Linked DNA regions of Macaca fascicularis. The protein of the gene in region 1 purifies or fractionates together with the protein of each later gene. This does not show direct contact. Links are inferred from orthologs where the notes say so. Each region holds a gene or a part of one and is shown in the gene's direction. Other genes may lie near its edges.

Region 1 (5,397 bases):
TTTTTTCCTTTCATTACCATTTAGATCAGATATTCTTTGTGGAAAGGCATTCAATCCCTTTAAAATGGGCCTCAGGTGGTTTTGCATTGAATATTTCCTGAAGCTTGACAAACTTTTAATCTAGATTGAACTTTTTTTGGTTTGATCTGTTACTCTTAATAAGTAATGATGTTAGAATCACTACTCATATAGAATAACTTTTTTTCAAAAATTTCTCCCATTGGACTCTGAATGCAAAGGTTAAAATGACAGTGGTCTCAGAATTAAATAAAACTGTATAATACTTCAGTCATTATTCTAAATGCTACATGACTACCACAGTTTGCTTGGTGTAGCCATGTATAACCATTTCTTTTTAAACAAAGGTCAACAATGAAGATCCTTTTAGTTCAGCCACATCGAGCTCTGTAAGCAATGCAATGATTACAAAAAATGTATTTGAGGAAACATCGGTGAAAAGTGAAGACGAACCCCCAGCGCTGCCACCAAAGGTCGGAACTCCAACAAGACCCTGCCCACCACCACCTGGTATGAGATTTGGTACTTTTCTTCAGTCAACTACATGGCTTTTCTCTTTCTGAAAAGTATTGTGTGGAGCTTACTTATATAGAGGGCTTTAAATGAAACAAGTCAAACATATGTCAGAAGCTTCCTGCTGTCATTCATTCTGACCTAACTGCCGAATTACAGACATGCACCTAAGAGATCAGCATGTGTACATTTCATGAGCTGTCTTTCTGCTAAAACCTGTTTTTCTTTTCTTTTTTTTTTTTAACTTAATCATTTCAGAGAGGCAGTAAATGGAAAAGGGAAAGTGTCAAGAAAATCTCTTTGCCTTTTAGAAACTCATTGATTATCCATTTGAATAGCAGTTTCCTGTACTTTGGTGTTTTAATTATAATTTATTTAAGAGAAGATTGTTTCAAAGTCCTTTTCCCGTAACATATAAAGTCTTCCTTAAGTCCTTTAATGTAAGAATATATGGCCTCTTTAGTATCCAGAATTCAGCAATATAGTGATTTGAAACAAAGTATTGGTTTTCTTGAAGGAAAATGGTATTTTAGCTAACTTAAAAGATTCCTTTTTTTTTTTTTTTTTTGAGATGGAAACTTGCTCTGTCTCCCAGGCTGGAGTGCAGTGGCACAGTCTCAGCTCACTGCAGCCTCAGCCTCCCGGGTTCAAGGGATTCTCCTGCCTCAGCCTCCCGAGTAGCTGGGATTACAGGCATGATCCACCATGCCTACCTAATTTTTATATTTTTAGTAGAGATTGGGTTTCACCATGTTGGCCAGACTGGTCTCTATCTCCTGACCTCAGGTGATCTGCCCACCTCGGCCTCCCAAAGTGCTGGGATTATAGGTGTGAGCCACCACGCCTGGCCAAGACTCTTTTCTAATAGTGATTTTTCTCTTATTTTTGTTTGTATGATTAGTATGTGTGTGTATGTATATGTTTAGCACTATACAAAGGAAAGTTTGTTTTGTTTTTAGGTCATAATAAGTGGGTAAAAGGATAATTCCTTGAGTAGTTGTAGTGCTGTTGGGCTATTACGTGAGAAGACACATTTTAGTACATTTTTTAAAAAATCATACCTCATTCCTTGGGAAATTTTCAGTCTAAGTAGTTACAGATTAATACTGCCTTTTCATCATAACCTTTCCATGGTCTTGAGCAGGTAAGTTTTTTTTCTTTGACTGAAAGGATTGCATGTACAATTGTTAATACCTGATAATCTGTTGAAAAATCAGGTAAATGAGTTAAGTGATTCCTTCTAAGGAAAAGTAGCTTATGTCATATATTTCTAGAAGTGAGGTTGCCAGAATATATTTAAAAATAAATAATGGTTAATTTGCACATTTAACTTTTTACACTTGCATGATGCTAATAGTGAGGTTGTTTTTTTAAATCTTAAGTAAAATAATATGCTAGTGCTTTTGTTAAATCTCAGAATCTTCAACCAAGTGATTGTATATCATTGTAAAAAGATTAAGGAAAAGACTGGTTTGTTGGAAAGAGCACTGAACTGGGAGTCTAAAAATCTAGGTTCTGTTTCTGGATGTTCCCTAACTGTGATCTTAAGTGTATAATTTCATATATCTGACCGTTGGCTGTTAAATATTGGCAGCAATTCTAATTTTGCCTACTTTCACAGGATTATTGGAAGGATCCATTGAGATATGAGCATCTTTTCTAAGCAGCTACAGTGATGGAATCTGTTGTGTTATGATTGCTATTACCAGCTTACGCATTTTAGGAAAAAAATATATTTAGAGATATTTTGATCCCTAATTTTATTATCTTTTCTTCAAGAAGTACTAAGTTTAAGTAAGACTTAGAGAACTTGTTTGAAAATGGTAATGAATTAGTGAGTGACTAATAGGACAAAATACTATTGTTGGGTCAGAGATTATTTGATCAGCAACCACAAAGATTTAGGCCCTGGGCTTCAAAACATTTTTTCTTCATTTTGAAATACAGTAAATAACAAAAAATTGGCAGGGTTTTACTACAGTAATTTTAAAATTTTATGCTCCTAGGTATTGTATCTAGAACTAGAGAAAAATCAGAAGAATTTTCCCATTTTTCAGAGGTCATTTGCTCTTACTGCCACTAGTGGATAACTGTTATCAGGCTGAGGTTTATAACAGCAGAGGCAGGCCATTTCTGTCTTTATTCTTTATTATTCTCCTTCTGTTTAATCCATTCGTCTCTCTTTTTGGGAACATGCTGCTTGGTTGTGGCTGGGGGATGGTGGTATTCAATCTCTGGACAAAAATATGATTCCTGGCCCATCCTTGCTTTGCTATTTGTTTCATTAGCTGCACATAGCTGGAATCTATTTGAGAGATCATGTGTGAAGAATTTGAGGACAGATAGTTGGTGTTGCCATTTAAGACAAGAATGTGTTTTAGGTACTTAGTCATCCTCTACCCACGGTACTTTAATGCTATCTGTGTACATGTTCTTGTGTGCTTGTATTTGCTGTATTTACTGGTTGAATTAATTGTGATGATTTTGATCCAGGGAAAAGATCCATCAACAAACTGGATTCTCCTGATCCCTTTAAACTGAATGATCCATTTCAGCCATTCCCAGGCAATGATAGCCCCAAAGAAAAAGATCCTGAAATGTTTTGTGATCCATTCACTTCTTCTGCTACTACCACTACCAATAGAGAGGCTGATCCAAGCAATTTTGCCAACTTCAGTGCTGTAAGTACTGTGAATGAGTTTTTTGGGGGAAAAATCTTTGAAGAGTTTTCAAAGATTATTTTGGAGTCTGCCAAGTTTGCATCATTTTAACTAAATTTACCAAGATACTAAAAATAATCTTTCGTTCTTCCCCCAAGAAAAACCTCTGTTTGATCCTGTTTTGACAGTTCTGTGGTTGTTCCATTGCACAAATGATTTTAGTAGTCTTAGTTTTTGTCATATATACAAGTTGTTTTGTAAATATTTCTCTTAGTCTTGGTAATATAAGTAAAATCCTAACAGTTGTTACTTTGTGAATGGTTATGGGTGATGATGACTTAATGAACAATTACAGAGTCATTGGTGTCTGCCCACTAGATGAACAATGCCAGTAATAAGTTTGTGCATTTGCGGCTGTGTATGTGTGGTTGTGTATAAAGTTTTAATGATTTCTGAGACCAGTCAGCAAATATTATATCAGAGGATAGGGCCAGAGATTATTTGAATAGAAAGTAAAACTATTAAACTTATATAGTCACTTTTAAAAAATGTAAATGCCAGTTTTATGAAATAAATAAATAAATGGTTGTCAGGATTTAAACAATCTTTAATTATTCGGAGAGATCTAATTCACTAACTTCTCATGTTTACTCTGCATTCTTTCAGAGATGTCTAAAATAGGAAGATCATTAGAAACAGTGGAAGGGTGCCATGATAACAGCATAAGCAGGGCGTATAAAATCACAGAAATGGGGCCACCAACCATGGAGTTATCAGTCTAGAGGGACATAAAGCAATGTCATATATTCCATCATTATTCAGTAAAAACAAGTTATTTTTAAATAAAATTCTTAGACTGGGTAACAAAGTTTCAGTTTCCCAGTTTTTTCAGGCAAAATAACCTTCGTTATCACTGCCTGTTCTATAAAACAGGAATTTTCTTCTGTTTATCACCTTATGCCCTTGAGATGATTTTGGAAACAGGAGATCTAGTGGCCAGGTAATTCTGCCTAATATTTCCCTCCTCAATGTAGCATTGGGACATTCAACCAGTTGCTTTATCCCTGCAGCTATTTCTAGTTAGAAAGGAGGTAGTCAAGAATCTGCATGCAGGCTGGGCATGGTGGCTCATGCCTGTAATCCCAGCATTTTAAGAGACCAAAGTTCTTTAAGCACCTGTAGTCCCAGCTACTTGGGGGGCTAAGGTGGTGGAGGTTGCAGTGAGCCATGATCATGCCACTGCACTCCAGCCTGGGTGACAGAGCCAGACCCTGTCTCCGAAAAAGAATCTGCATGCAACTAAGACGACTGAGCTCCCAGCTTTTGAATCTGTACTCTAAGTTCTGGTGGCTTCTCTTGAATATGAAGGAGCAAAACAGGAATCAATATTTTGAATATTGTAAAAATGGAGTGTCAGAATTATACAGACTTTTTTTTTTGAGATGGAGTTTTGCTCTTATTGCCCAGGCTGGAGTGCAGTCGCATGATCTCAGCTCACCACAACCTCCACCTCCCGGGTTCAAGCGATTCTCCCGCCTCAGCCTCCCAAGTAGCTGGGATTACAGGCATGTGCCACCACACCTGGCTAATTTTGTATTTTTAGTAGAGACGGGGTTTCTCCATGTTGGTCAGGCTGGTCTTGAACTCCTGACCTCAGGTGGTCCATCCGCCTCAGCCTCTCAAAATGTTGGGGATTACAGGTGTGAGCCGTCGTCGTGCCCAGCGTGACTTTCCTTTTTTCTTTTTTTTTTTTTTTTTTTTTGAGACAGAGTCTTGCTCTGTTGCCAGACTGGAGTGCGGTGGCGTAATGTCAGCTCACTGCAATCTACGCCTTCCAGGTTCAAGTGATTCTCCTGCCTCAGCCTCCCAAGTAGCTGGGACTACAGGCATGCGCCACCACACCTAGCTAATTTTTGTGTTTTTAGTAGAGACAGGATTTCACCATGTTGGCCAGGATGGTCTCGATCTCTTGACCTCGCAATGCACCTGCCTTGGCCTCCCGAAGTGCTGGGATTACAGTTGTGAACAACCGTGCCTGGCCCAATTTACCTTTCATTAGATGGAATTTGATTTGTTTCAAGCAGAGAATCAAAAATTAGCCTTTTTAGGGGGTTATAATTCTCTTTGTGTAAAATAACCCTGTGGTAGTTTGTGGCATTTAATATCTTAAGTATGGTTTTAGCAAGTCAAAATCTGGTTGGGGCCA
Region 2 (6,101 bases), on another chromosome or scaffold:
TCTGCTTTTCCTCCTACCTCTCTGACTGCTCCTTCTCAGTTCTCTTTGCATTTTTGGGTTTATCTGTTTCTTCCCCAAGCTCTCCACATTCTTCATGAATACTGTTCATGCCTACAGATTGAATTATCATCTGTATGCTCACAGTTCACAAATTTAACTCCAGATCATTCCTTATCTTCAGACACATATAATTAAGCACCTCTTGGATAGAGATCTTCACTCTAACCTAACATATAAAATGAACTCATCACCTCCCTCTCATTCCCCAAACTTCTGCCATCTCTTATATTTTCCTATTTTCAGTGATGAGTACCACCATTCATCCCTTGCCCAAACCTAAAACATAAGCCTTATCAGTCCTAGTGTCAGACTTCCTGGGTTCAAATCTTAATTCTACCTTGTGTGTGTGTGTGTGTGTGTGTGTGTGTGTGACAGGGTCTTGCTCTGTCATCCAGGCTGGAGTGCAGTGGTACGATCTCAGCTCACTGCAAGCTTCGTCTGGCAGGTTCACGCCATTCTCCTGCCTCAGCCTCCCCAGTAGCTGGGACTACAGTTGCCTGCCACCACACCTGGCTAACTTTTTTGTATTTTTAGTAGAGATGGGGTTTCACCGTGTTAGCCAGCATGGTCTCGATTTCCTGACCTCGTGATCCGCCCGCCTTGGCCTCCCAAAGTGTTGGAATTACAGGCGTGAGCCACCATGCCCGGCCATCTTAATTCTACCTTTTAACTTCTCTGTATCTCTTAAAATAGAGGAAGTAATGGTACCTGCCTGGTTATCAGGTAGGTGGTGAGGATGTAAAAATGTACTTAGCAGAGTAACCGACATAAAATCATACTCAATAAATATCAACAGTTATTTGTTTAAACCACCATCATCATGTGGCTGGATCATTTCAACAGTTTCTTGAGTGATCTCCCATTAGATTATGAGCCCGTGATGGTCCCAAAAGGTGAAAAGAAGGGAGATTGGTCAATACTTTCACCTAAAAGTGGAAGAGAATGAGGTTGGAAAAGCTTTTGGATTGATGCTGTATTTCGAAAATAGCATTGGTTCATTTTTCCTTAAAATATATGCATTTTTCAGAGAAAGGATTGGAAAATAAAACAAATATAAAGAAGATAACATTTGTAATCAGCACCCAGAGAGAACCACTAATAGGTATATATACGCCTCTGGATTTAGAGTTTTGTATCTTTCTTTTATTCTTATCATTTCAAAGCATTTTTCTGTATCATATTTTTCAACAATATGATTTAAAAGGCACATCCCAATCATATAAATAAATACATGTTCATTGTATTTGAAAAGTACAGAAAAATATTAGGAAGAAAAGTAAAACTCTCACTATTCCGCAATAACCACTTTTAACATTGTGCTGAATATCCAAGCTTTTTTTTTTTTTTTTGAGACGAGTCTGGTTTTGTTACCCAGGCTGGAGTGCAGTGGCGAGATCTTGGCTCACTGCAACCTCCACCTCCTGGGATCACGTCATTCTCCTGCTTCAGCCTCCTGAGTAGCCGGGATTATAGGCATGTGCCACCACACCAGCTAATTTTTGTTTTTTCAGTAGAGACGGGGTTTCACCACATTGGCCAGGCTGGTCTCAAACTCTTGACCTCAGGTGATCTGCCCACCTCCGTCTCCTAAAGGGCTGGGATTACAGGTGTGAGCCACCATGACTGGCCTATCCTAGCCTTTTTTTTTTCTATACATATATAGTCATACCATATACTATATTGTTTTGTATCCTATTTTTACTTAACACTTTATGAATTTTCTGTCATAAAATATTCTATAACATTATGCAGCTATCTGATTTACCATAAGTGTTTACATTATCTCTCTTTATACCTGGCTTTCCAATTTCCCCTATTCCTCTATTTTAATAACAGAGGAAATAATAATACATGAGTATGTTATACAAAATTTTAATGTACTTCTGATCACTTTTTTAAGAATGAAGTTTTAAAATACTTAAACACTTTCTGACTCACAGAGTTCATGGGCAAAATGTGAGAAAAATAAATAATCACTTTGCTCTCCATCCTTCCTTACACCCTGAAATTAACCTTAGGGACAGCTAGTTCATTTAACCTCATCAATCTTGTTCTCCAGTTCCAGGTCCTGGAATCTAGGTCTTAGTTTCCGAAAGAAACTTACTTTTGTGTAAGCACACCTATTATATACTAGGCACTTGACCTAATTTATCTGGTTTACGCTTCACATGCCCGAGAGAGATACTATCATTGTCTTCATTTCACAGATAAGAAGATTGAGGAGACATTAACTTTCCCAGTCACATTCAGGGTAGGGATTCAAACTCACATCCAATGCCTCCTCAACCTCTTTTACCTGCACCACTATCCTCTAGCCCCACTGCCCGTATATAGGCCTGGGTTATATCACCATTGTCCGCTCTTGAGCCTGGAAGGAAAATGAGCTGAGGGGTTTTGTTTTTCACAAAGGAACAGGATATTTCATCATCTCTGTGTTTACGTTTTTCAGAGAATTTCTGTGCGAGGTAACAAATCCATTGTCAGCTTTTTAAATATATTCCTTTGGAGTAGCCACTTAACATCCTCTGAGGCCCAGATGGGCCAGCTTTGCTGGGACCATGGGAAATGTTTGGGGCTGGAAGGCGGCAGAGATTACCGCCTTGCTAGGTCTCCCGCGCACCCCGATGACGTCACGCGGCGACGTTCTCTGACGTCAGAGTTTCCTGCCCACCATCTTTGTCCCTGGCAAAGTGGGTTTTGCGCAGTGGCTTAGACCTAGAAAAGAATCGTGACGGGCAGGAAACCATTACACCACCACCCGGGCTGTGCTCTCCGGCTCCCGCCGCCACCCCCGCCCTCGACTTCGCCTCCGCCTCCGGTGAGTTCAGGGAGGCTGCCTTTGGGGTGTGTCCCTAATTGACGGGGTGGGGGACGAAAAGAAGGGGAACCCCAGGCTGGGTCGAGGACCGGCGGAAGCGAGGATATCCTAAGAGCGTGACCGTTGAGGATACAGGGAACCGTCGGGTGTGACCAGTGAGAGGAAAAAGGTTGGAGAAAGGGTCTCCACCATGATGACTGTGGTGCGGTGAGGGAATCCTCGGGTGTGGCAGCAAGTAGTTGGGGGCATGAGGGTAAGATGTACTTCGGAATTGGGGGTTTAGGAGGACCAGAGGCCAGGGGTGTGGCTGATAGAGCCTGGAGGCCGTGGGGGGAACCGTCTTTCTTCCCCGCTCGGCGTCGTTCACTAAGAGTCACTAAGAGTCTGAGACGTGTCCAGCAAAAGCGAAAGGGAAAAACCCGTTTGCTCATTGATGGGCGAACGTCGTCTGTCCAGTAACTTGAGGGTAAGAGACAACCTCTTCCCTGCTCCGTAATGGAGGAGCATATCGCTAGAATCTTGACCACCTGGGGAAAGAAGAGGCATTCCTGACTCTTGGAGGAAGAGTAACCTCCAGAATTGACCCGATGTAAGAGAGGGGGAAGCAAATGGGGGTAAATCTTAACCCACCTTTTTTTTTTTTTCTTCTTCTTTTTCTGGGCTCTGCGGGAATGGTCTGGCTTGGGAAAGGCTGTAGATTAAGCTGAAAGTAAAGAAACTGGAACTTACTGTTATTTCCTTATCATTTGAATCCAAATAATTTGTTAATGCTGCTTATTTTCAAGAGCAGTCTTCTGTTGGAGGGGTGGGGTGGGGGGACAGGCTTTCATTGAACTCACGCGGATGCTTCATTAAACGTTTGACTTTTATTTTATTTTATTTTTATATTTTCAGTGACAGGGTCTTACTGTGTTGCCCAGTCTAGTCTAGAACCCCTGGGCTCAAGCGATCCTCCCTATTCGGCCTCCCAAAGTGCTGTGATTACAGGCGTGAGCCAGAGCGCCCAGCCAAACTTGACTTTTGAAAAGAAAAAATGTTTTGAAAACCGCCAAAGACTTATCGTAACCATTGTGGTTTAAAAGAAAATGCATTAAACTTACAAAGGCAGAATGACTAAGAAAGAAGGTGGTCTCAATGAGAATCAATTTAAATTATTAATTACCTTCCTTGTATACTTGAATTGCTTAGCCTCAGGGTACACTTACAAAGTAATAATAGAAAGTAGCAGATGAAGGAGGTGCAGCTCTATAAGAAAACGTGTAACACATTCCAGTGATGACTAAGCGTGCTGGTAAGGTGAGAACTGTTTGCAGGTATCTTAACCGTTGAAACTTTCAAGGAAGCAGAAAGGGTGATGTATAATGCAAGCATCCTCACTAAAAGCTGGGTGGTAAAATCAATATAAATCTAATATTCTGACTGTGTATGAAGAAACTCAAGTCCAGTTCTTTCATTCTTTCCGTCCTTAAAAGATCCATATTTTGAAGTACTAACTTTTTAGGCACAGGTTTGAACCAAGCTGAGCAAGGAATATATTAAATAGGGCACCTTCTCCTTTCTCTTGTCCTTTCTTTCCTTCCAGGCTTAAGTTTTCCAGAGTTTAATGTTATTTTGGTTAAGAATTAGATGTAGGCCGGGCGCGGTGGCTCACGCCTGTAATCCCAGCACTTTGGGAGGCTTTTGAACTCCTTTGCTTCTATATAATATTAAGAAGCTACTTTGTAGTCTAAGTAGAAATCACAGGTGATTTTAGCTTTTGTGTCGTAATTTCTTATGAGAAAAATAATACCTGATGATGCTATTGTCTTTGCATTATTACTGAATATTTGATTAGAAATGAATTTGGCACCTCTCACCCTTACAATAAAAGATTACTGGAATGACATTTCTGCTTTATAATTTGGTTAACTTTGTTCTGTTTTTTACTGTGAGCACTGAGCTTTGTAAAGTCCAACTTTGTGAAAAGAAGGGTTTAGGGACTTTACGAACTAATTTGGCTTCCCAGAGAGCCATTTGAATTAAGATCCTATTAATTTTTTTTGACCTTATTCTACCCAAGGTATTAATCTTATTTTGCTGCTCAATTTCTCTTTTAGGGAACTGGAGGGAGGTATAGGAGAGGAGGGACTTTGACAACCTATATTTCATAGAAACTAGGTTATGTTAAATCTGGATATGTAATCCTGTGCAGGGAGGCCTACTCCGAAATGCAGTGACATCACACTCTGGTCAGGGCAAGTAAGAGTGATTATGTGCTTTGACTCTGGCAGCTTTGTTGTTTAACAATGGCCTTAGGCCATATCATAAATCCTCAGAACAGCCGTGACTTGTCTGGTTTGATCTGGTAGAAAGGTAGTGTGAGTTCAAATTCCGTCATGGCTTTGCTTATTTCTCTGGCTCTTCTGAAGGAACATTTTCTCCCCCAAAGGAGCAGCTTGATTTTTGAGGCACTTCAGCAAATATTTGAGTTTTTTTGTTTTTTTTTTTCTTGAGCTCTATTTTGTTTACTTTTTCTGTTACTTCTAATGAAGATGTCAGTTTTTGCCATCCTGTATTTTGGAGACTCTGGCTATGTCCATATCTAGCATGTGATTAAATGTGTCTCTCATTATATGAGGTAAGAACTCACTATATGAGAGATACACTTAATCATATATATGTGATTTTTTTTTTGAGGTGAAATTCACGTACCATAAAATGAACCAGCTTAAGGCATACAGTTCAGTGGAATTTAGTACACTGACAGTGTTGTGCAACAATCATGTCTTCTATTTGTTTTTATTTAGACTATTTTCATTTTTCTTGGAGTTTCTTTTGGCTTAAGGCAAGAACCAGCTTGGCACCATGTTTCTCTGCCAATATGGATAGGGAATATTGTTTACAATAGTGTTGCTTACTACAGTGATATCCCTTCTCTTTAGAGCAGCAGGGACTCTTAATTTAGAATCTATGTTATGGGCGTCTAAAGATACTTGACCCTCCTCTCTTCCCTGAAATTTTGTGGGTGGGTGCATTATTTTCTAGTTAAGATGAAAACACTTAATGCTCACAGTGAACAGGACAGTAATATATTCCTTGACATTGAAATTGTTACAGATAATGAAATATGTGAGCTGTTAAAGGCATGACTTAAGACTTAGGTTAATTTATTGTTTAATAGAATGTAGTGAAAATTCCTGTAAAGAATTTACTCATGCCTGTAATCCGAGCACTTTGGGAGGCC

The links. Proteins that work in one complex are often made in the same cells at the same time.
Region 2: the proteins of EPS15 (region 1) and AP2B1 purify together in Homo sapiens (affinity purification with mass spectrometry; 3 studies listed by BioGRID and IntAct, with this or other methods). This does not show direct contact. The link is inferred for Macaca fascicularis from reciprocal best matches to the Homo sapiens genes EPS15 and AP2B1.

Annotation. Positions count from the first base shown.
Region 1 is NC_088375.1:183,374,146-183,379,542, forward strand, and holds part of EPS15 (epidermal growth factor receptor substrate 15), read left to right. Parts: intron 1-365; coding exon 366-528; intron 529-3,024; coding exon 3,025-3,212; intron 3,213-5,397. UniProt on the Homo sapiens protein: Involved in cell growth regulation. May be involved in the regulation of mitogenic signals and control of cell proliferation. Involved in the internalization of ligand-inducible receptors of the receptor tyrosine kinase (RTK) type, in particular EGFR.
Region 2 is NC_088390.1:41,887,596-41,893,696, forward strand, and holds the start of AP2B1 (AP-2 complex subunit beta), read left to right. Parts: upstream 1-2,771; 5' UTR 2,772-3,047; exon of another isoform or gene 3,048-3,131; intron 3,132-6,101. UniProt on the Homo sapiens protein: Component of the adaptor protein complex 2 (AP-2). Adaptor protein complexes function in protein transport via transport vesicles in different membrane traffic pathways.